Linked DNA regions of Elephas maximus indicus. The protein of the gene in region 2 purifies or fractionates together with the protein of the main gene of each other region. This does not show direct contact. Links are inferred from orthologs where the notes say so. Each region holds a gene or a part of one and is shown on either strand. Other genes may lie near its edges.

Evidence for each region. The genes of interacting proteins can lie anywhere in the genome.
Region 1: the proteins of TGFBR1 (region 2) and SMURF1 purify together in Homo sapiens (affinity purification with western blotting; 3 studies listed by BioGRID). This does not show direct contact. The link is inferred for Elephas maximus indicus from reciprocal best matches to the Homo sapiens genes TGFBR1 and SMURF1.
Region 3: the proteins of TGFBR1 (region 2) and MAP3K7 purify together in Homo sapiens (affinity purification with western blotting; 3 studies listed by BioGRID). This does not show direct contact. The link is inferred for Elephas maximus indicus from reciprocal best matches to the Homo sapiens genes TGFBR1 and MAP3K7.

Annotation. Positions count from the first base shown.
Region 1 is NC_064830.1:102,570,376-102,577,340, reverse strand, and holds the start of SMURF1 (E3 ubiquitin-protein ligase SMURF1), read left to right. Parts: upstream 1-3,958; 5' UTR 3,959-4,287; coding exon 4,288-4,342; intron 4,343-6,965. UniProt on the Homo sapiens protein: E3 ubiquitin-protein ligase that acts as a negative regulator of BMP signaling pathway. Mediates ubiquitination and degradation of SMAD1 and SMAD5, 2 receptor-regulated SMADs specific for the BMP pathway.
Region 2 is NC_064827.1:48,995,738-49,002,640, forward strand, and holds the start of TGFBR1 (TGF-beta receptor type-1), read left to right. Parts: upstream 1-3,888; 5' UTR 3,889-3,976; coding exon 3,977-4,061; intron 4,062-6,903. UniProt on the Homo sapiens protein: Transmembrane serine/threonine kinase forming with the TGF-beta type II serine/threonine kinase receptor, TGFBR2, the non-promiscuous receptor for the TGF-beta cytokines TGFB1, TGFB2 and TGFB3.
Region 3 is NC_064819.1:154,410,001-154,417,790, reverse strand, and holds the start of MAP3K7 (mitogen-activated protein kinase kinase kinase 7), read left to right. Parts: upstream 1-4,783; 5' UTR 4,784-5,000; coding exon 5,001-5,120; exon of another isoform or gene 5,121-5,402; intron 5,403-7,790. UniProt on the Homo sapiens protein: Serine/threonine kinase which acts as an essential component of the MAP kinase signal transduction pathway. Plays an important role in the cascades of cellular responses evoked by changes in the environment.

The DNA of each region.
Region 1 (6,965 bases), on a different chromosome or scaffold from region 2:
GGACGGGACCTGATAGTTTTCATTTCTAACCGTTCCCAGGTGCTGCTGCTGCTCTGGCGACCCCACTTTTGAAAACCATTGGTCTAGAATAGACTCGATCTCCGTCCAACCCTGTCCAAAGACTAGTACGATATTTAGCCAATAAACAATGATTCGGGGTCTTACGTGGGACTTCCTCTGGGTTGATTTCCCTGGTTACTGTTGCTTACATGTTATAGGTGAGTTACGACGAATTTGGAGAATTTTTATTTGTCTTATTTTCCCAAACATATTTCTCCAAGGTAGTAGTAGCACTAATAGGTTTTGGAGTGAAGATGAGCCTGCACATTTTACTCATAAGAACTACTGTTTATTGAGTCCCTCCTATATTAACTGCTACTTCTACATCCATGATTTAATTTAAACCCCACAATAACTTTGCATGAGAGGCATTAGCCCCATTTTGGAGATAAGCAAAATGAGGTTTGGAGAATTTAATTACCTTCCTCTATCACCAGCTGGGGAAACCCTGGTGGTGTAGTAGTTAAGAGCTATGGCTGCTAACCAAAAGATTGGCAGTTCGAATCCACCAGGGTGCTCCTTGGAAACCCTTTGGGGCAGTTCTACCCTGTCCCATAGGGTCGCTATGAGTCGGAATCGACTCCATGGCACTGGGTGTGGTTTTGGTTTGGTTATCACCAGCTGGTAATGTGGTGGAGACAAGGTAGAGTGTGGGGCTGTGTGAGTCCACAGCTACTCTCTTTTTAGCACAAATTATGGCCTTCAAAAGGAGCAGTGACCGCACATGAGGTGCGCTGGCGGGGGATCTAACCTGGGTCTCCGTCAGGGAAGGTGAAACTCTACCACTGAACTACCACACCACCTCCCCCCAACACACACAGAAGGATATCCCCAAAGTTAACTGCTTGATCACTTTCTTTGGAATAGGGGTTCTTAATCTAGGGAGTATGGGCCATTATAGGATCCACGAATAGGTTTTTGGGGATAATGAACCCACTGAAGTTGGTAAAATTTGGTGTGTATGTGCACATATGGATTTTTCTGGGGAAAGGGTCCAGAGTTTCCATTAGATTCTCAAAGAGGTTTGGGACTCAAAACAGGTTAGAACTACTCAGTCAGAACAAAGAGAGATGCCCAATAACAGTGACACAAGGAAGTGGTACATACGGTGGAAATAGAATCAGTTGGCAAGCCTCCATAGAAGGCAGGGGCAAAACTGCTCTTTGTAAAGCCATTGCAAAGAGGACATTTGGAGGGACTCATTGAGTTTTTTTCAGCAGAACTGCTTGACATTTCATATCTATCTGGCCCAGAGATCTCTGGAAGGTAGTACTTCTGATGAAGGTTGATACATGGTGGAAGGACATCCAGGTAGTTCAATATGTGGGCTGGCCCAGCCGCAGAACGAAACAGCAGCTGATGATTTTTAAGTGGGCAAATAGCTTTTATCATTTTTATCAACTTTCAGTGGAGTAAAGTACGTGGGGAGAAGATATGGCAGCTATGCAGTCACACTGGCCTGGAAACACACTGGAAAATGCATTCACGGACACACCTCTGCACAAGTTGTTCAATCTGTCTGCATTTCCCTTCCTGCCTCTTTGCCCAGCAAACCTGAACCCTGCATTTAAGCTCCAGATCAAGGCCTGCTGTGACTCTTCTGAGACCTCCCCAGCCCTCTCCTCCTAGGCAGAATTGTCCTGCAACCCCTGGTCTAGCCCTCTGTACCCATCTCTGTCCCTCTACCATTGTTTCCCTGTCAACTGAGGCTCTGAAAAGCTAAAGTAGTAACCAGTGCTAGTTGCCGTCAAGTCGATTTTGACTCATGGTGACCCCATGTGTGTCAGAGTAGAACTGTGCGTCACAGGGATTTATTTTTTTGGAAGTAGATTGCCGAGACTTTCTTTCAAGGTACCTCTGGGTGGACTCAAACCAGCAGCCTTTCAGTTAAGCAGCCAAACAATGTTTGCACCATCCAGGGACTCCAAAATGCTAAAGCCATGACTTATTTTGTGTCCCTTGTCCCTAGCCACATAGTAGGTGGCCGATGTTGGCTGAGCAAACGCTAAATGTAGAAAGCATTAGCTACCATTCAGGTCCCCTCTGTACAGGCTGTGGTGAGATGACTATTTTGTGCATCTACTTAGATGACAACAGCAATTATGTGTTAATGAGTAAACAAGATGCCTCTTGGTAATCTCCAAAAGCAACCTCTTGACTCAAGGGTTGAAGAAATAAGCAAAGGAAGGCCCAGGCATCAAGGCAGGTGAGAACACAACGAGGTTAAGAAATGCCAGGTTTCTAGGGTGGAACAGCTGAGGCTTGGGACAGGGGCCAGTGCTCAGGTAAGCAGAGAGAGATGTTTGGTTTGGTTTGGGGAGAAGAGACTTCTTGAATTTGGGAATAAAGAGGAGAGAAGGGGGAATACTGACTGGACTGAAAGAAGAATGGCCATCACTTGGGGTGTCAGACAACACACTGAATGGATTTATTCAGGCCAAGGGACTCTCAGTCACAATTGCATAAAAAGAGAAACAGCTGGGTTCTGGGTCTACTCCTCTGTTGGTTAAACATAGCTTGTATTCTTGGATATTACACTAGAATCATTGCAAGTCTGAGCTGCAAGGGACCACAGAAATGATCTGAGCCCATCCTTTCATTTGATGCTTGAAGAAACTGAGGCCCCAAGAGGCAAAGCCTTGGGTCCAGCCTATGACAGACTGCTTTCACTGGGCTCAGCCAGAGGCAGGACGGCAGGGAACGTCCAGAGACTCTAGGCAGAGGGCTTTGTTCTGAAGACTGTGAGCTCAGGAAAGGCCCAAGGCCACAGGGAATGTGAGCAGTTGCCCAGACCCTGTCTGGCTTTTTAGAAAGAGTTGCCACTGAATGATTCATTGTGACCTCATATATGTCAAAGTAGAACTATGCTCCAAAGGGTTTTCAATGGCTAATTTTTCTGACATTGATTGCCAGGCCTTTCTTCCAAGGTGCCCGGTGGTCTGGAACCTTCATACGTTAGCAGCTGAGCCCATCACCCAGAGACACCATTTTTAGGACACAAACCAAATAAAGGCATTTAAAAGAATGAGGTATTTGGTCAATAACAAGTTTGATAAACCCACCTTTTCCTCTCGATTAACACGTTATTTCCTCTCCATATCGTATTAACAATAAGAGCCATTTGTTTGCTGGGAACGTCTAATGAGCCTTTAGCGAGCAGAAGGCGGGAAAACACGGCAGTAACTGCTAAACTGTATGCAGATTAGATATTAACCTCTTAACTTTATCCCTCTCTCAACTGTTGTTTACTTTGCCCACACAGGGCACTTCCTGCCATTCTGGCAACTTCCATACGGGGAAATCAGAGCGCAGGAGTTGCGGAGAACACACACCTAACGGACTTTGTCTCTGACAAGTCCCTCCCTTGAAACTGCATTATCGAAACACAAAATACGCTACTGAATGTCTGCTGGTGCAAGGTACTTAGTCTAGGAACAGGGCACCGACACAAAGGTTTCGTGTCGCCCGTCCTTCAACAGCTTATGAGGAGTCCCGGGCCTGGAGTCAGAGACCTGGGAAATCGGTTCCTTTCTCGGAACCTCACGTCCGCATTTGCACGTCGGCTCCCTGGGAACCGTCGCGGACACTGGAGGCGCCGGGGCGCGGGCAGCGCCGTCAGCCGCCTGTGGCGGACCCCGCGCGGTCCCCTCGCAGCCTCGCCGCCGAGGAAGGGGCGCGCCGGGTGCACCCCACGCCCAACGCCGCATCCCCTCCTGCAGGGCGCGGGCGAAGCCCCCAGGCCGGGCGCCAGGAGGCCGAGCTGCTGACGTAGGCGCGCGCCCCGCCCCGCCCCGGCGTGCCCCGCCCCGGCGTGCCCCGCGGGCGCGCGCACGCAAACGAGCGCGGGGGCGCACGGCCCGGGCGCGCGCAGGGCCGGGCCGGCACAGCGGCGAGAGCGCGCGCGGCTCCGGGAGGCGGCGGCGGCGGCGGAAGCGGCGAGGGCGGCGGGCGTCCGGCTCTGAGGTGGTGGCGGCAGTGGCGGCGGCGGCTCTGGACTGGGCTCGGCTAGGTGCGAGCGAGGGCCGGGGGGCGCTGGGGCGAGTGCCGATCCCCCGGCTCGACCATCCGCCTGCCGCCCGGACGCCTGGGCCGCGGAGTTTGTGTCCCGGCTCGGACCCCGGCGCCCAGCCCGGAGCCGTAACCTTGAGGCGGCGGCGGCGGGGCCGGACCGGTCCGGGCCGGGGGGCGGCGGCGCTGGATCCGCGGCCACCCGATCGCTGGCGGGAGATGTCGAATCCCGGGACGCGCAGGAATGGCTCCAGCATCAAGATCCGTCTGACAGGTACGGCCGGCGGGGGGCCCCCGCCGCCCCCAGCTCCCACTCAGACCCCGCGCCGCCCCTCACCAGCCCCGGCATTTCCCCCGTATCGCCCTTGGGATGTGTCCCTCCCCCAACCGGCCGTTGTCCCAGGACCTCCTCACCCCCCTCGGTGTGTGCCCCTTGTTGCTCCCGGCCCCGCCCCCTCGCTTCTGCCCAGGCCCCGCCCCCTCGCTTCTCTCCAGGCCCCGCCCCCTTGCCTTTCGCCCCCATCTTCCTACTTTCTTCCCTCCTCCCTCACACCTGCCTTCTTCCTTCTCCCTCCTGGCCCCACCCCCACGCTTCTCACCCCCACCTTCCAACTCTCTTCTCCCTCACACCTGCCTCCTTCCTTCTTCCTGGCCCCGCCCCTCGCCACCCTAACCCCGCCCCCTTACTTCCTTGCCTCTTAGCTCTCCCACTAAGGTCCCCTCACTTCCATCCTGGCCCCGCCCCTGCCTCTCCCTAACCACGCCCCCTTCTTCGCCTCCTAGCTCTTCTCCCACTATCGTCCCCTCGCTTCCATCCTGGCCCCGCCCTCGCCTCCCTAGCCCCGCCCCTTGCCTCTCCTTAACCCCGCCCCTTCCTTGCCTCCTAGCTCCTCTCCCACTGTCCTCCCCCACTTCCATCCTGGCCACGCCCCCTCGCTTCTCTCCTCTTGGCCCCGACCCCAGGCATCTCACCATTTCCCCCCAACTTTCCCCTCCTCTCCCCCCACCTGCCTCCTCTCATCTTTCTTCCTCACCCTCCTCACCCTCCCCTGGTTGCCCTCCCTCTTCCCCCACCTGTGCCTTCGCCTCTCCCCTACTGGCCCCGCCCCTTTTCTTGGCCACGCCCCTCGTTTTTCTCTAGCTCCTTCCTGGCTTATCTCCCATTCCTGCCCCCTTGCTGCTTTCTCCGGGGCCCCAACCCTTTCCTTGAGCTCGAGCTCCTGTTCTCCCGTCTAGCTTCTCCCAGTCCTCTTGCCTCACTTCTCCTTTGGTCCAGACCCCTTCAGTCTAGCCCACTTCCTTTTCCTCTCAGGCCAGACCACTCTCTGCCCTTGACGCTGCTGTTGCAGTTCGCGGCGTCTCTGTATTGCACTTGACCATCATCCTGCCACTCAACACTCTTGAGCCCCTCTTAGACACCCCCACCCCCGCACTGGAGGCTTTGGCAGCTGCAGAAACCAGGCTTCTTGATTCACTCTCAGTCTTCAGTGAAGAGTCCCTGTTTCCTTGGTGGCTCAGTGGTGCCACTTCAGGGGGGAGCGTGCCGCTCTGCTGTAGTTGGGATGTGTGCGAATGTGAACCTCCCTAGTGCGCTCCAGGGGTTCTGGACCAGTCTGCATCCTCGCCTGCCCTTTCTCCCTCCTCTTAGCTTGTTCCGGGTTCACCCTCTGCCCTTCCAGCTTAAATTCACGCCTAAGGCAGTTTCCTCCTGTTGCAAATGCGGTGTTGCTGGGGGACTTTCCAAACTCGAATATTTCCAGCTCTGGAAAGGAAAGAAAAAGTTTCATCTAATCCCTGTTACGGATTTTCCTCTCGATTTTTCCTTGTGCAGTTTCTGGCCTAGTGCGGATTCCGAAGCCAGTGTCTGCTCAGTTCCTTTCAAAGGAGAGAATGAGCGTTTTGAACACTTTATGGCAGAAACAGGAGCCCTGGTGGCACAGTGGTTAAGGGCTTGGCTGCTAATGGAAAGGTTGGGGGTTCCAAACCACCAGCTGCTCTACTTTATAAAAATGTGGCAGTCTGCTTCTCTAAAGATTGCAGCCTTGGAAACCCTATGGGGCAGTTCTGCTCTGGCCTGTAGGGTCACTATGAGTCGGAATCCACTGGACAGCAATGGGTTTTTTTTTTTTTTAGTTGCTCTGTGAGTGCCTTAACCAAAAAATAAAAATAAAAACACCAAAACCCACTGTAGTCAATTCGATTCTGACTCAACAGTTGGTGATTTTTTTTTTAAAACTAAAGATTCCCTCGAAACCCCATAGTTGTTGCATGATCCATTTTTTTGTGTCAAGGAAAGGGTTGTAATTATTTGTCCTTTTACAAGGATGTCAGATCAGGAATGACTTGGGCCCAAACCCAGACAGACCATGGTTTTGTAAGGTCACAGGTATATCCCATGGGTCTTTGCTTCTGGAGAGACGTTATCCTTTATACCAGGGCCCGGATATGAAAGACTTCTATGTGCATATATACATTAAACTATTTTTATGGCTACATAAAAGCCATGTTTTTGACATTGTAATACTTGTAAAACTTTAATTATTGACTGCTTTAATTTGGTTTGAATTTACAATATAATCTATAATTGATATTAGATCATTTTCTGTTTTCTTGCTAAAAGAGAAGTAACTGATTTTGTGAGTTTTGTAGAAATGCAACTCACGTTTTATAAGGAATAAGGTTTTAGTTACAAATGTATGTGTTAGATTCTAGGATATATATATCCTGGTTGGCAGGTCTGGGCCTAGTCCTTTTCCTTGTGAAAGAGAGGAAGATTGTTTTTGGATTCAGCAATCAAGATGTCATAGATACAGAAACGTTTCTGAGTTTTTGGATGACGTTGGATATTAAGGGATCAGGGATGATGAGTATTCTTTCTAAAGGACCTTTTCCCTTCC
Region 2 (6,903 bases):
CCCTTGCTCCAGATGGGGAGGGACCAGTGCAGTTATCTTAGATGGCCACTCACAAGCTTTTAAGACCCCAAATGCTACTCGCTGAAGTAGGATGTAGAACATTTTCTTTATAAACTGCATTATGCCAATTGAGCTAGATGTCCCCTGAGACCACGGTCCCCAGCCCTCAGCCCAGTAATTCAGTCCCTCAGGGATAAAACTCCTGTTCTTGGGAAAACAATGTTAAGAAAATAACAGACTGAGCAAAAACATTTGCAATACATATATCCAGCAAAAGACTCATATACGGGTTATATAGATATATATTAGGAAATCCTGGTGGCATAGTGGTTAAGTGCTATGGCTGATAACCAAAGGGTCGGCATTTCGAATCCACCAGGTGCTCCTTGGAAACTCTATGGGGCAGTTCTACTCTGTCCTATAGGGTCGCTATGAGTTGGAATCGACTTGACGGTACTGGGGTGGGTTTGGGTTATAGATATATATTACAAATCGTTAATAAAAAGACTTGGGCAAAAGACTTGGACAGATACTTAAAAAAAAGTTGATGTCCACAAGGACCCATTATCTCTCCATCTTTCTTTTCTACCTTCCATCTCCATTTATGGCCATCATCCTTATGTTCACAAGATGGCTACTGTAACTCCAGGCATTAAAACTGTGTCGCAGGCAGAAATAGGAAGGAAAGAATGTGATGAATCTGTCTCTTTATGAGAAAAACCACATCTTTCCCACAAGCTCCACTTGACAGATTTTGTTTATATTTCTCTGACTACAACTCAGTCACATGGCCATACCTAGCTGCAAGGAAGCCTGGAAAATTGAGGTTTTTTTTTTTTTTTTTTTTTAGCTAGGTGGATTTCTTTAGCAAAGTAAATCAGGGTTCTGTTATAAAGCATATGGGGAAATGGACGTAAGTTAGGCAACTAGGAGTCTCCGTGCTCTATACGGGGGTAAATATGAAAACAGAAGGAAAAGCAAACACAATGTACTCAGCATAAAGAATGAGAAGTAGTATTGTGCAGGGAACAAAGCACTGCAGTGAGTCTCCTAGTCCTGGCTCTGCACCAGACTTGCTGGGGAACTGGTTTTCGGGTTCTTCCCCTGTAAGTTAGACATTGGAGTAGATAACCTACAAGCCTATAGAACCTATTATGGGAATTAGGTTTTATGATAAATTGCTTATGTTCAAGAGCTCATTTAGATATCATAACAAATATATGAGTAGGAACAATATGTGAATATTATTCCATTTTGCACTGGAGCTTGCTAAATCTCAGAGCATCTACATTGGTGCACAGATCTAGTAAGTGGCAGAGCCAGAATTCCAACTAAAGTCTGCAGGCCCCCAAAGTCAAAGGCTTCTTTCCACTGTTCATCTTTTCTCCAAAGGTGGAACAAGCTCATTCATTTTAATTTACTGAATTTTAAGGTTATACTTTCTAAACCACTTTCAAAATGTAGCATGGCAGCCACCTGCAGCAGAATTACCTGGGGTGCTTTTTGCAAATGCAAATTTATGGGCCCCCTCTAAGTCAACTGAAGCCAGACTCTGGGGGCTAGACCCCTGGGATCTTCATTTTTAAAAGCTTCCCAGGTAATCTGGAGACACTTTAAGGTCTCACAACCACCATTTTAAAGTTACAATTTATTGGTCTATTCCAATGTAGTTTATTTGTGGATCCGTGGCTCATGGAAATTTCCTCCAAATATCAGGAAAATAAAATTTAAAAATACTCTGTTCCTCCTTCCTCTTCCTCAGTTTTCTATTGAACGCAGTCAGTTCCATGGAAAATGTTAAGGAACTGGAGGTGTGTCATGGAAGATATCTTAACATGGATTGACTGAGGCTCTGTAAAGCAAAGGCACAGATTAATATGAACATAAATGTTGGATAGAATCATACAGAGCTGGAAGGGGGATATGCAAAGGAAATGGCATTAACTAAATATTTACTATGTTCCAGACACTGTTCCAGACACAGCGCATCATTTAGGGAATCCAAGACATATGATTCAATCCCTTTTTATTTACAAATGGGGTAGGCATTACAGCACGGTTATCTCTACTTTACAGAGGAGGAACCTAAAGTTCAGAGAACAGTCACTTTTCAAAGGCGAATCGTTCGTTCGTTTGTACAATAAATATCTCTTGAGAGCTCTTATTTTATGCAAGACATTGAGAATAAAGCATCGAAAAGACAGTCCAGAGACCTTGTGTGTCACGGGGCCCTGGTTTACCCAAGTTTCCATTGAGGACTGAGAGAGCAGACTGGGGCTGGAGCCTGCCAACAGCAGCATCTCTGCCTGCCAGCAGCCAGGAGGAGTAGAGCTTGTGGCTGGTGGTCCAGAGCTCCACCGGGAAGTTTCCACGGCTCAGTGAATACCATGCCTTTACCTTTCTGGGCGGTGGGGAGTAGGCAGGGGCCTGAAGGGAGTACTTTGAAATGGAACTTAAAAGGGGCTAAGGGAACCCCAAAATCTCATCATAGTCTTTCAGTAACCTTGGGAGGCAGATATTATTTCCGATTTATAGAAGAAGAAGCTGAGGCTCAGAAAGGCTAAGTGTTCTCATCAGGAGTGACTAGAGCAGGTCTCAGATTCTAGTCCAATGCCCCCAGCCCTCGCACTTGACAGCTCACTGAAAAAAAAAGTCTAAATAGGTGGGTAAAAGGCTCAGCCAATAGCGCTAAAGTAGTTTACTTGAGGTTGGGTATGAGTCTTTCAACCAACATTTATTTAATTCCAAGTTCAAATCACACAGAAAATAGAACTGTTTTCTCCTTAAAAGGTTCTGCGGAAGAATGTTCTCTGTTCTATGTAACAGCCTCCTTGGCTGTGTTTGTGTCTGAAGAAAGGATCAGTCTGACAGGAAGAATTATAAATCTGGAGCTCATTTCGGTGTCCCAGCGGGAAGGTGGGTGGAGCGCCTCACAGTAAATTAGGAATTCAGAATGAAAACGTAGTTGAGTTTATCTGGGTTTTCAGTGACACCTCAGAATTATTGTATGGGCGTGTCAGACAGCTCAAGGTAATGCCTGCTTCTCCTACGCCCCGTGGGAGCGGGTGCTGAGAAGGGGAATCCTCCTCCTTTGGTGGGGTGGGGGCTTCCCTTTCCAACCTGGATCAGGAAGGGAGAACGGGGAAGACGAATAGTTTGAAGGCCTGAGTCTTCTCTGAGTTCTGGAGGGAGGCTATTGGGGGGTGTGTCTGAGCTCAGGATCTGGGTCCGAGGCTGGGCTCTGAGACTAGGATTTGGGAATTTTCTGAGCCTGGAACTTGGGCTAGAGCAGGAGTAAACAGGAGACTGAGTCGTAAAGGAAGGGCACCGAGAAAGGGTTTTGAGGGGGCAGATGTTGAAAGTTGAAGCGCGGACCTGGGGACGGAGAGTTGAAGCCTGAGGACACTGCGGATCTGGGCAGAATGTGTTGGGGTTGGGGTGGAGGTCAGTGCCAGGTCGTTGGTGTCTAGAGGAAGCTAAAAGACAGTCGAGGGGCCACAGCCTTTTTCCGACGACTCACAGACAGACCCGTCTCTCAGCCTTCGCCCATCCGGGACAAGAGACGCCCTCGCACCGGGGCTGGCGAGACCCTGCCCCCACCCGGCCGCCTCCGAGCCCGGAGCAGCGCGGGCTGGGCTTGGGGTCTGGGCGCCCTGCGCAGGGGGAGTGCTGGGGGCGTGGTCGGCGGCCGTGCCCCGCAGCTCGGGATTGGCTGCCACTTGGGCCCGTGGGCGGGGCTCCCGGCTGGGTTTCGCTGGGCGGTTCGCAGACGGCGGAGAGGCGGGGCCGGCGGGAGCCTGGCAGCCAATGGACTCGCGGCTCCGGAGCAGTTACAAAGGGCTGAAGCGAGGCCGCGGCGGTGGCGGCGGCGGCGGCAGCGGCGGCGGCGGCAGGGGAGGTGGGGCGAGGCGAGGCTTGCTGAGGCGAGGCGGCGGCCGGGCCGGGCCGGGCCACAGGCGGCGGCGGCGGCGGGACCATGGAGGCAGCGGCTGCTGCTCCGCGTCCCGGGCTGCTCCTCCTCGTGCTAGCTGCGGCGGCGACGCTGGTCCCAGGGACGACGGGTGAGTGGCGGCGCGGCCGGGTTGGCGGGCGGCTGGCGGGCGCGCAGGCAGGGCCCGGCCTCTGGCTCGCTCCTTCTCTTTCTCAAACATGGCGCGGGCCGGGGGCGCAGGTGGCGGCGCCGGGGCCGGGACTTGGGCGCGTGTTGGGCTCCCTGGCCCGGCGCGGCCAGGCCCCCGCCACGGAACCGCAGGCGCGGTGGGGAGGCTGGACGGGGGCGTGTGTCCGAGCGCGGGTGGACGCCCGGCAGCCCGAGGCCGCCCCACTTGGCGCTCCCCCGGAGAGGTGGCGTCGGGCGGAGCCGTCCGAGGCCGGGGGCTGCGCTCTGGGGTGTGAGTGAGTGAGGGCCCAGGACTGAGGGTGCGAGGGTGGCCCGGGCGAGCAGAGCAGGGCCTTCCGCTGACCTCCGCCGAGGGAACTGTGAAGCCTTGTCCCTGGTATCCCCACCCCAAGCGAGTCGGTGCCTGAGGCCCCAGGGGTCCGGGGCGGGGTTGGGGTCCAAAGAAGCTTCCCAGGCAGAGTGTGAGCTCTGAGCCTTCAGGCTTCCCCGGGCGGTGAGAGGGGGCTACCTGTGGCTGAGACCCCCGGGTCATTAGGGTTGCCCCCAGCTTTGGCCCCGGCCCGGTCCTGCTCAGAGAGGCTGCTTCCACAGCCTGGGGTGCCTTTGGCGAGGGAGCTGCGAAGCTTTGTGTGGAAGGAGGCGGACGAAGATGTGCGGAATGTTTCTTCTTTCGTGCGTCTGGAAAGTGTTGAAGCGAATCCAGTAACCAGACGGCTACGGATTGTTTTCATAGTAAAAAATGGAACGTTTGCTCACTCTGCGGGGTTTGGAATGTTTGAATGAGAATTACTCTGTGAATTTATCAAAAGCTTTTATTTCCTCGAAGAAGAATGCTAGTGATCTTTCTTTTCCCCAGTGACAGTAGTTTGAATCAGTCATCTGCATAGCTGGTTTTCAAGGGAAAATGCTTGCTTGGTTTTCCAAAATACTCAATCAGGATGGGGTAGGTGGTTATCTACCCAAATGGAGTACAGGGTGAAAAACTTCGTGTTACAAACCAAATGACAATACTAGAAGCTAAAATATGGACCTAGTTTTAGCAACTGAAATATAGTAAAAGTACATTCCTATTTCTGAAATCGGACACCCTGTATAAAAAACAAAAGACTCAACCCAAGGCTGAGGGTGTCAATTATTAGTCTGAATAGCTACTGTGTTTTAAGAGCTTACTATGATGTAGGTGCATAAAGTACACTAAAGTACTTCAGCTAATCCTCACAACTAAATCTTCAAGGCTAGTGGCATTTGCCCCCGTTTTATAGATGAGAAAACTGAGGCGAGAGGTTAAGTACTCATTTACTAAGTGCTACAGTTAGGATTTGCATCTTTGCATCCAGGGCTCTGTTTCCAAAGCCTGTACACCTTATATATGCCAGACTGTCTTACCCGGCCCATTTTTCTTGTTCAGTCATCTGATAGTGATTGATCTTTATTATTCACTTTTAGATTTTGGCTTCAAAATTTGAATACCAGGTTGCCTTCTTTCTAACTGCCAGCACATTCCTGAGTCCCTTCACACTGAAACTACAAGAAAAAACAATGGATTTTTGATACTGGCCTCGGGGAGAGGAGATAATTGTGTGGACCTGTGGTAGAATCAGCATAGTTATACATCAAACAGAAATGACATTTCCACATCACTATTAACTTGAATAACGTAATTCACTCTTTTCCAGTTATTGTAGGACAGAATATTCATGTATTCAGGTAACAGTATTAGACTTAATTGGCTGTACAGAACATTGCTCAACCCAAGCCCTGAAGGAGTTTACAGAATACATTGGCATGCATACGATAGAAAGCTGATCCAGATGCTTATTACTCCAAGCCCAGACTACGTCAACTAGTCTGCCTGCCCTGATTGCTCATATTGATGTTTCAGTTCATCCTTTTTGTACATACGGAAGAAGCTAAGCTCAGAAGCTTTTTTTTCTTTATAATTGCCTTCCTTATTCAAGAACTTGTAGTTCTTTATCGGCTGGCTGTTAATTTTATATTTCTCTGCCTGGCTTCTGCTTTCTACAGCATAGATTTCTCTAGGGAAAATGGTTTCCTATCCCTAGTGCAGAGTTTCATACCACTATGTTTACATATATATCCCATTTGAGAATGCAGGTTCTTTTCTGCCATTTCATAACTTTTTTTTCTTTGAAAACATGCCTAAAACCCAACTCTTTTTTTTTATTAATGCCTCTTAAGTATGCCTCTTTGTATGCAGCCAGCTGCCCGTTATCCCTCGAATCTAGTTGCTTTCCATTGTTTCTCTCATCTGGTCTTTTCTACAGGCTGCTGCCAAACTAATCTTCCTCAGTGATCCCCAGGAAGGGTTTACAAGACTTCCTATTTGTATTCAGCCATTAGAGCATATACTTGAGACCCATGATTAGAACCATCTCTGAGTATCAGACCAGAGAATCTCACCCTTTCACTAGTGCAAACCCTCAGTTCCAGCGATTTCTCTTTTCCCCCTGACTCCTGACTGCTCAGTCTTTCCACTGCATAATTAATTTTGTCCCCTTTTGGGGGTGGAGCCCTGGTGGGCAGTGGTTAAAAGCTCAGCTGCTCACCAGAAAGGTTGGCAGTTCTGATTGGTTGGTACCCTAGCGATGCCAGTTGTTACATATTTTTACTGTCACCCATAGAGGCTTCAGTATTCAAAGAGGAAAATGATTAGTACAGACTGAAGTGATTGCGGAAGGCTTCCTGGACACTTTAGGACTTAAGCTGTTTTTGAAGGGTGGCTAGAATTCAGATGGGCAGAGACAGGGATTTGATGAGTGTTA
Region 3 (7,790 bases), on a different chromosome or scaffold from region 2:
TCATTTATATATTGAATATACCATGGACTGCCAAAAGAATGAACCAATCTGTCTTACAAGAAGTACAACCAGAATGCTCCTTAGAAGCAAGAATGGTGAGACTACATCTCACATACTCTGTACATGTTATCAGGAGGGATTAGTCCCTGGAGAAGGACAGCATGCTTGGTAAAGTAGACGGTCAGCAAAAAAGATGGAGACCGTCAAGGAGACGGACTGACAGAGTGGGGCTCGAGCATAATAACAATTGTGAGGATGGTACAGGACCGGGCAGTGTTTCGTTCTGTTGTATATAGGGTCATTATGAATCGGAACTGACTCAATGGCACCTAACAACAACAACAACAGACTTTCTACCATGCATATATAAGTTGTATATGTATAATGAAATAGGATCCTACTCTACATGCTGTTTTTAAAATTTTATTTAATTTGAAAATAGTATTTTTTCTTTCCATATCTGTACATATAGAGCTAACGCATTATTTTAGTAGCTGCATAGATTTTTATTGCATTTGTTCATTCAATAAATATTTATTAAGTGGTTATGAAGGTATACACAGGTTAATAATGATTCAGACAATAAATATGTAAAGAAAACAAATTACAAATTGTGATATATGCTATGAAGGAAATGAACAAAAATAATCAAAGTATCTGGAATAGTCAGAGAAGGCCTAAGAGGTGAATTTTAATGTAAAGCCTGAAAAATGATAAGGATCCAGGTACTCCAAAAGCAGGATAGGAAAGTATTCCAGGCAGAAGAAATAGTGTTGCAAAAGTCCAGAGGTGGTAAAGAGTTTGGCTTATTCTAGAAACTGAAAAGAAGCCTGTGTGACTGGACCTTAACATGCCAGGGAGAGGCAGGCAGGAGCTGAGTATTTTTTCAACTCTAAACAAATAATTTCTTTTATAACAATTAGTACAAAGCTGGTAACTATGAGGTGGAGGTTAAAGATGTCCCAAATGTCCAACTTTTCCAAGCTGCTATACCACTCCATCATCTCTAACATCAACTACTCCCTCTCCCCTCAGTACTCTCCCTCCCATCTTTGGGGTCCCTAATTCACTGCAATGCCTCACAGAACTCCCCAACCATATAAAGGAAATGGCTCATGAAGTTGTGGAGGCTGGCAAGTCCCAAATTGTGGGTCAGGCATAGGCTTCTCCTGACCCACGTGGCTGCAGGAGCTGATGAACCCAAATTGGCAGTTCAGACCACAGGCTGTTGGCTCACAAGGTTGCAAAAGGTGGTGAATCATGTTGTACAATAGGCCGCTGGCCCAAGTGGCTGGGGAGGCCTTCGAATCCCAGAATTGGTAGGTCATACAGCAGGCTTCTGGGGAGGTCAGCTGATCACAAACTAGACAGGGGATCCAGATGCAGGGAGAAAGAGAGCCTCACAAGGACACACACATAGGTCTCAGATGCAGTCCACACCCCAGGAAAGGGTGTAACTTTAGTAAGGGTGGGACTTGAGTCACAAGATTGTGACCCAAGACACACCTTCCACCAACTCTGCCTTATTAACATGTAGAGGTCAGGATCCACAACACATAAAATGGAGGACAACCACACAATACCAGGAACCATGGCCCAGACAAGTCAACACATAACCCTAACCGTCACAGGTTCCATACACCTTATTTGCATAGTCCCATTCAATAATTGTGTGTGAGTCACAAAGGCCAAGGCTAGAAGGGCCATATTAAGTAATTCATTGCACCGTAAATTCCAGGCACAAAATGTCACAGAGTTTTAAGCAGGAGAGTGATATGATCATGCTGGAGACTTTAAAACATGATTTTGGCTGATATATGAAAAACTGACTCAAAGCAGTCAAGAGAAGTACTAGTCTACATATAATCCTCTGTTGATTGAGGACTTGATTCTACTTTCTGCCTGTTATAAACAATAGAAACAATCTTTGCCTTTTTCTCAACAAAAGTGAAGGATGTGCCTGTTTCCTTTCACTCCTGTCTCCTGTAACATAATTTTTTCAAGACAGATTATTCCATCGATTTATCTGCTTCTATTTGATCATTAGTATACTGAGCATCATTTCAGCAGCCCTGGTGTGCAATGGGTAAGTGCTCAGCTGCTAACTGAAAGGTCGGGTATTTGGGGTATTTGAATCCACCAGTTGCTACTCGGGACAAAGACCTAGCAATCTGCTCCTATAAAGGTTACAGCCTTGGAAACTCTATGGGGCAGTCCTACTCTATTCTATAGAGTTGCTATGAGTTGGAATTGACCGGATGGCAATGGGGTAGGTTTGGTTTTGTTGTTGTTGTTTTGGAGCATCATTTCATATGTAGAAATAACATCCTGATTTCTCACTTGGACAACTGAGTGGGTAACGGGATCCTTAACTGAGACAGGAAATGCATCGGAAGAACATATCTGTATTGGCGGATGGATTCTGAATTAGCTTTGCCATCTTGAAATTAAGGTGTTTGTTGCACCTAAATAAAAATATCCAACAGGTTCAGAATTCAGAAAAAAATCTGAGCTAGGTAATGAAAGTCATTACAAAAATGGTATGAGAAACCAAGACCCTGGGTAAGATCATCCAGAGAGTATATACACTGAGAAGAAATTATTTCTTCTTTCATCCTTTTATCCATTCACCAAACTATCATTAAGTGTCACTAGAACTACAAATTGGAAATGACAGAATGCTTTCTAGTTCATAGCTTCCTGATTGCTAAATCCAATCACCTATTTATAATCAGAAATGTGCTTAACTTACTTATTTGCTTACAACTAAGGCTCTGGTGGCACCTTGGTTAAGAGTTATGCCTGCTAATCAAAAGGGCAGCAGTTCGAATCCACCAGGCACTCCTTGGGAACTCTATGGGGTTGTTCTCTGTCCTATAGGGTCACTATGAGTTGGAATTGACTTGAAGGCAATGGGTTTGGTTTTTTTTTTTTTTTTACTTACAGCATTTATTTGGTTTACTACTCCTTAATTGAACAGCTCTCCTCCTATGCCATCCAGGTCACCACTCCAGTCATTTTGCTTTTTCAAACCATTCCTTTTCTGTTTCTGAGGCTTAGAATTTGACATTCACAGGGTTCCGTCTTGGTTTTTTTTTTTTAACACAGTGCTCCTAGGTGAAAGAAAAAAAGAAAAACCAAGCCCGTTGCCTTCATTCCGACTCATGGCTCGCCCACGTTACAGGGAAGAACAGTTCCATAAGGTTTTCTTGGCTGTAATCTTGACAGAACCATACCACCAGGCCTTTCTACTGCGGTACTACTGAGTGAGTTTGAACTGCCTGCGTTTAGTAGTTCAGCATAAACCATTTGTACCACCCAGGGGCATGTGGTCACATGAGCTGGAATTGACTCAATGGCAACAGTTGCTTATTTTTTTAATCACAGGAAAGCAGATCACTAGGCTTTTCTTCCCTGGCACTGCTGCGTGGGTTCCACGCACCAACCCTTTGGTTAATAGTCAAACACAGATTTATCCCACCCAGAGACCTGTTCCTAGGTAAGTTCATCCAAACCCACTGCTCCAACCACCATATATAATTATCATTTTTAAGTCTCTAACTCCAAAATTCCACACTTAGGCTTCAAGTCAAAGTAATAAAGTTTTAACAGCTTAGTTTAATATTTTTTGGTAACACAACGTAAAGTACGCTGGTGACACAGTAGTTAGGCACCTGGCTGCTGAAATGGTGGTGGTTCAAACTCACTAGCTGCATGGCAGTCTGCTTCCATAAAGATTTATAGCCTTGGAAATCCTATGGGGCAGTTCTAGTCTGTCCTATTAGGTCACTATGAGTTGGAATCCATTGGACAGCAATGGGTTTTAACCCAACATAGACAATGCTATTCGAGTTTTAGCACAACGTAGACAATACCATTTGCCTTAGAGACAGATTGCATAGGTTTTGGATCAGAAATTCTTTTAATCTCTCTGAATTTATTTTCTCATGTCCTGTAAATGATGAAAAAATATTTAACTTGTCATGGCCATTGTAACGATAAAATTATAAATATAATGAATCTAACATAGTGCTCTGCACTCGATAAATGCTATTAATACAATCTAAAACGCGAGATGAACATGTCAAATTATGCCAAATTATAAATATCTACCTTATCTAAATGTGTTAACTTTGTTATACCAATATGTCATCTTCTTTTCGTGAGCACTCAGCCTCCAGAGCGTTACTTATGTTGAATACGCTGACCAGCTCTGTACTATTAACTTCTTCAGACTCTCTCTTGGTATCAGGGACTGGTTTAAATAATAGCCAACCGCTCCCTCCACGTTGAGGAAAACACGTTTTGCGAGGCTTCTTAAAGATACAGTTTAGTTTAGCTTCGGTTTAAAACGAAAAGTGGGCTTTGTCGTAAAAACTCGGTCCTATACTGCTCTGCCCGTCTGCAGGCCGCTAAAAGAAGATGGAGTGGAGCCATGACGCAACTCACAAACAGTGGGAACCATAGTTTTTATCTTTCCCGCTGGTTCCTAAAAGACCAACGGCACTCATTGGCCATCAGGCTTGTGTCACTTCCGCTCGCGCATTTTAATTATGTCAGCGCATCAACTCTCGCGGTAACATCCGTCTCCTGAGCCTCTTTAGCAAAGATCTCGCGAAATTTGTTTTACAGGTTCAAGACAGGCTCTCACCCGCCCGCCCCCCGCCCCTGCGCCTTCACCCTACCCCAGCCTGCCCTTCCTTTCTCTTTCCCCGTCACGAAATTCTCCCCTCCCCTCCCACGAACCTGCTGCCCCCCTCCTGTTTCCGATTTTAGACCGGAACCGGAAGTCAGGTGGGCGGGGCCCGGCGGCGGAAAACGCAGCGGAGCCGGAGCCGGGACACGGCTGTGGCCGCTGTTCCTGCCCCCGCCACGGATCGCCGGCTGGCCGGGCTGTGCGGCTCCAGACTGAAGGTCGGTCCGGAGGCGGGTGGGCGCGGGTCTGCCCCGGAGTGTCTGGGTGGCAGACTCTCCGGGCCCCTCGGGCGCGGCGAGGGATCATGTCTACAGCCTCTGCCGCCTCCTCCTCCTCCTCGTCTTCGGCCGGTGAGATGATCGAAGCCCCCTCCCAGGTCCTCAATTTTGAAGAGATCGACTACAAGGAGATCGAGGTGGAAGAGGTGAGCGAGGCCCGGCACAGAGCGCCGTCTCCGGCTCGCCCCCGCTTCTGCCGGATCCTGGCTCTGAAGGCGCCTCCCCGGCGGGGTCGAGCCGAGATTCCCCACAACCCCTCGGAGACTGGGTGTGGGGGGACTCTTCGCGCTCAGCTGCTCTGAGGTAGCTCTCTTTTTTCCTCACTTCGACACTCGAGTTTGGATTTGATACTCCGGTGTCTGGATTTGGGTCACTTCAAATAGGAGGATGAGCTGGTGAGAAAGTGTGGTCCACCAGTTCTCATTTCTGTAAGTAGTAAATTCAGCAAAGACCGTGGCCGTTTCAATTCTCTACATGTTGTGTTTTTAAAGGCCAAGGATTATACTATATTCGATTTACAGCTCAGTGCCTGGCACATAGTGGGCGCTCAATAAATGCTTATTAAAGTAGTAGATGAAGTCAAAGTGTTTCCGCAGGTACCGAATGATTCTGTTTCGCTGATATCATAGAGCAGTACTCGTAATATTAAATGTTCTGCCTTCAGTTGGGTAATTTAGATGAATTCGCCATTAGTAATGTACGCTGGTCTGTTATAATGAAAAGATGTTTTAAGTAGCATGTTCTGGAGAGAGAACTCATGATCTCGGCGACAGCTAGAATATATCACCAGATTAGAAATTGCTGTTAGAAGACCTGAATCCATTCTGTATTCTTCAATAATTTAAGATATTTTAGAGCGAGATATTTTAGTGTGCCTTTAGTACGTTACTTCTGTTCACATTCATAGAGGGGCGATTGGTAATAAGGACTGTGAAATTTAGGAAAGTAAAAGTGTGTGTATATATTTTAAAGACACTTTAGAATGTGTTTTTAAAAACTGGTTGAAAATGGGATGTATCAAATAGTTACCATTTATTTATCCTTTTAAAAATGTAGTGATTTTATTTTTATTTTATTTTTTTTTATACTATAAAGAACTCAGCATGTCCTGTGGACATGTTATGAAATCTCAGCGTTATCTCTACTGTAAAAATCTAAAATTACTTTTAGGTTACAGCAAGCTAAAATTAGTGAGATAATTAATGTTCACCAAATAAATATATCTTTTCCCTATTCATGTTTTGGAAGAATAATGAATTACTAAATCATACATTTTTATTACTTGAAACAACCTAGAGATCATTAAGAACAACCTTCATTTTTTTTTTTTTTTACAAGGTAGCACAATGGGAAAAACAGGATCTTTTGACTTAAGAGGAAAGTTCAGTATGTGAGATGTGCCACGTTAGCTATGTGGTTTAGGGCACATTTCCTAACTAACCCCTTTGAACTTTAGTTTTCTTAACTGTAAAACAAGGATAATAATTTCTATTTAATTTTATCTGTATAACAGTCTTATTAGGCAGTGTATGTGAAACACCCAACACGAGGCCTGACACGTATTACTAGGAAACTGAGTTCCAGAGAGGAATAGTGACCTGCCTTAAGGTCACAGGGCTAAAAGAAGATCTGTGTTTTGAAAAGAGAGGAGAATTTTGTGTGTGTGCTTTTTTTTTTTTTTTTTCCGATTGAGGCTATGATAAATTCCTTTTCCAGAAGTGGATAGTTGATCCAGCTTTCATGGCTAACATTCTTTTTTAAGAATAAAAATTCAGTGAGTCAGTATACAAGAATTGCAGTTTTTAAATAAGCATTTACGTCTACTCTGTCTACTCTGCGGTAAATTGGCTATGCTTGTAGACTACAAATTGTTATGTAATAATAACTTGTACTTTATGGTCTACCAGATTCTTTCAGAGGCTTATTTTCATTTGATTTCGACAGCAAACTTAGTTTTTGCACATTACTTTGTAAAGCTTTTTGTCTTCTTGCTTTATGGAAGAAAGGAAGTTACTGAGACATTTTTCATTTTGCTGCTCTTCCCCCAAAGCCATTTCACTTCTGATTAGGTGTTTATGTTTCCAAAACCTTTCCTTCAATTTAGATAGTGCTTCAGCCTTCCTTTGGTGTATTTAGGATATCCTGGGGCGTAGACTTTTGCTTTTTGATAAAAAGTTCTTTCTAACATTAGGCGGTCGTTTAGTTTTGATTTTTTAATACCCAGTTTGTTTTCATATGAAAGATTGAATTAGGACCTTTCTTATGTTGAGGCCATTACATAAGTTCCATCATATTCTTCATTTGCACACATTAAAAGTGTTTGATATAATCCAGGGTGCACCTTAGGTGCTCAATAACTATTTCTGAATTTAGATTCCATTTCTAGATTAAAATCATTATAATAGAGGATGATCAGAAACAAAAAGTATTTTATTCCCATTTAAAGAAAATCATATCCTGTATTTCTCAGATAACAGTGTAATTGAATCAGCATTATATGACCAGAACTAGAAAGTACATAAAAAATAACTCGAACCATAGACCAGGTATGCAGCCATTTAGTAGATGCATATTTCTAAGGCATCAGCTAATTTTAATCCTTAGATTCCTAATGTTGTGACTCAGAAATTTCAGTTCGGCATTTCTTAAATGCAGTTCTGTTGTCACATTATGTACATTCTCAGCCTTAGAAATCTACCTTTTTTTAGTGATTTAGTTTTTATCATTCTGGATCTGGGTGTAGAAAATGTTAGAATAAATTGTGAGGGATGTACATTGTGGACCAGGTTGCAAGAAGTAAAGGCCGTGTGGTGTAG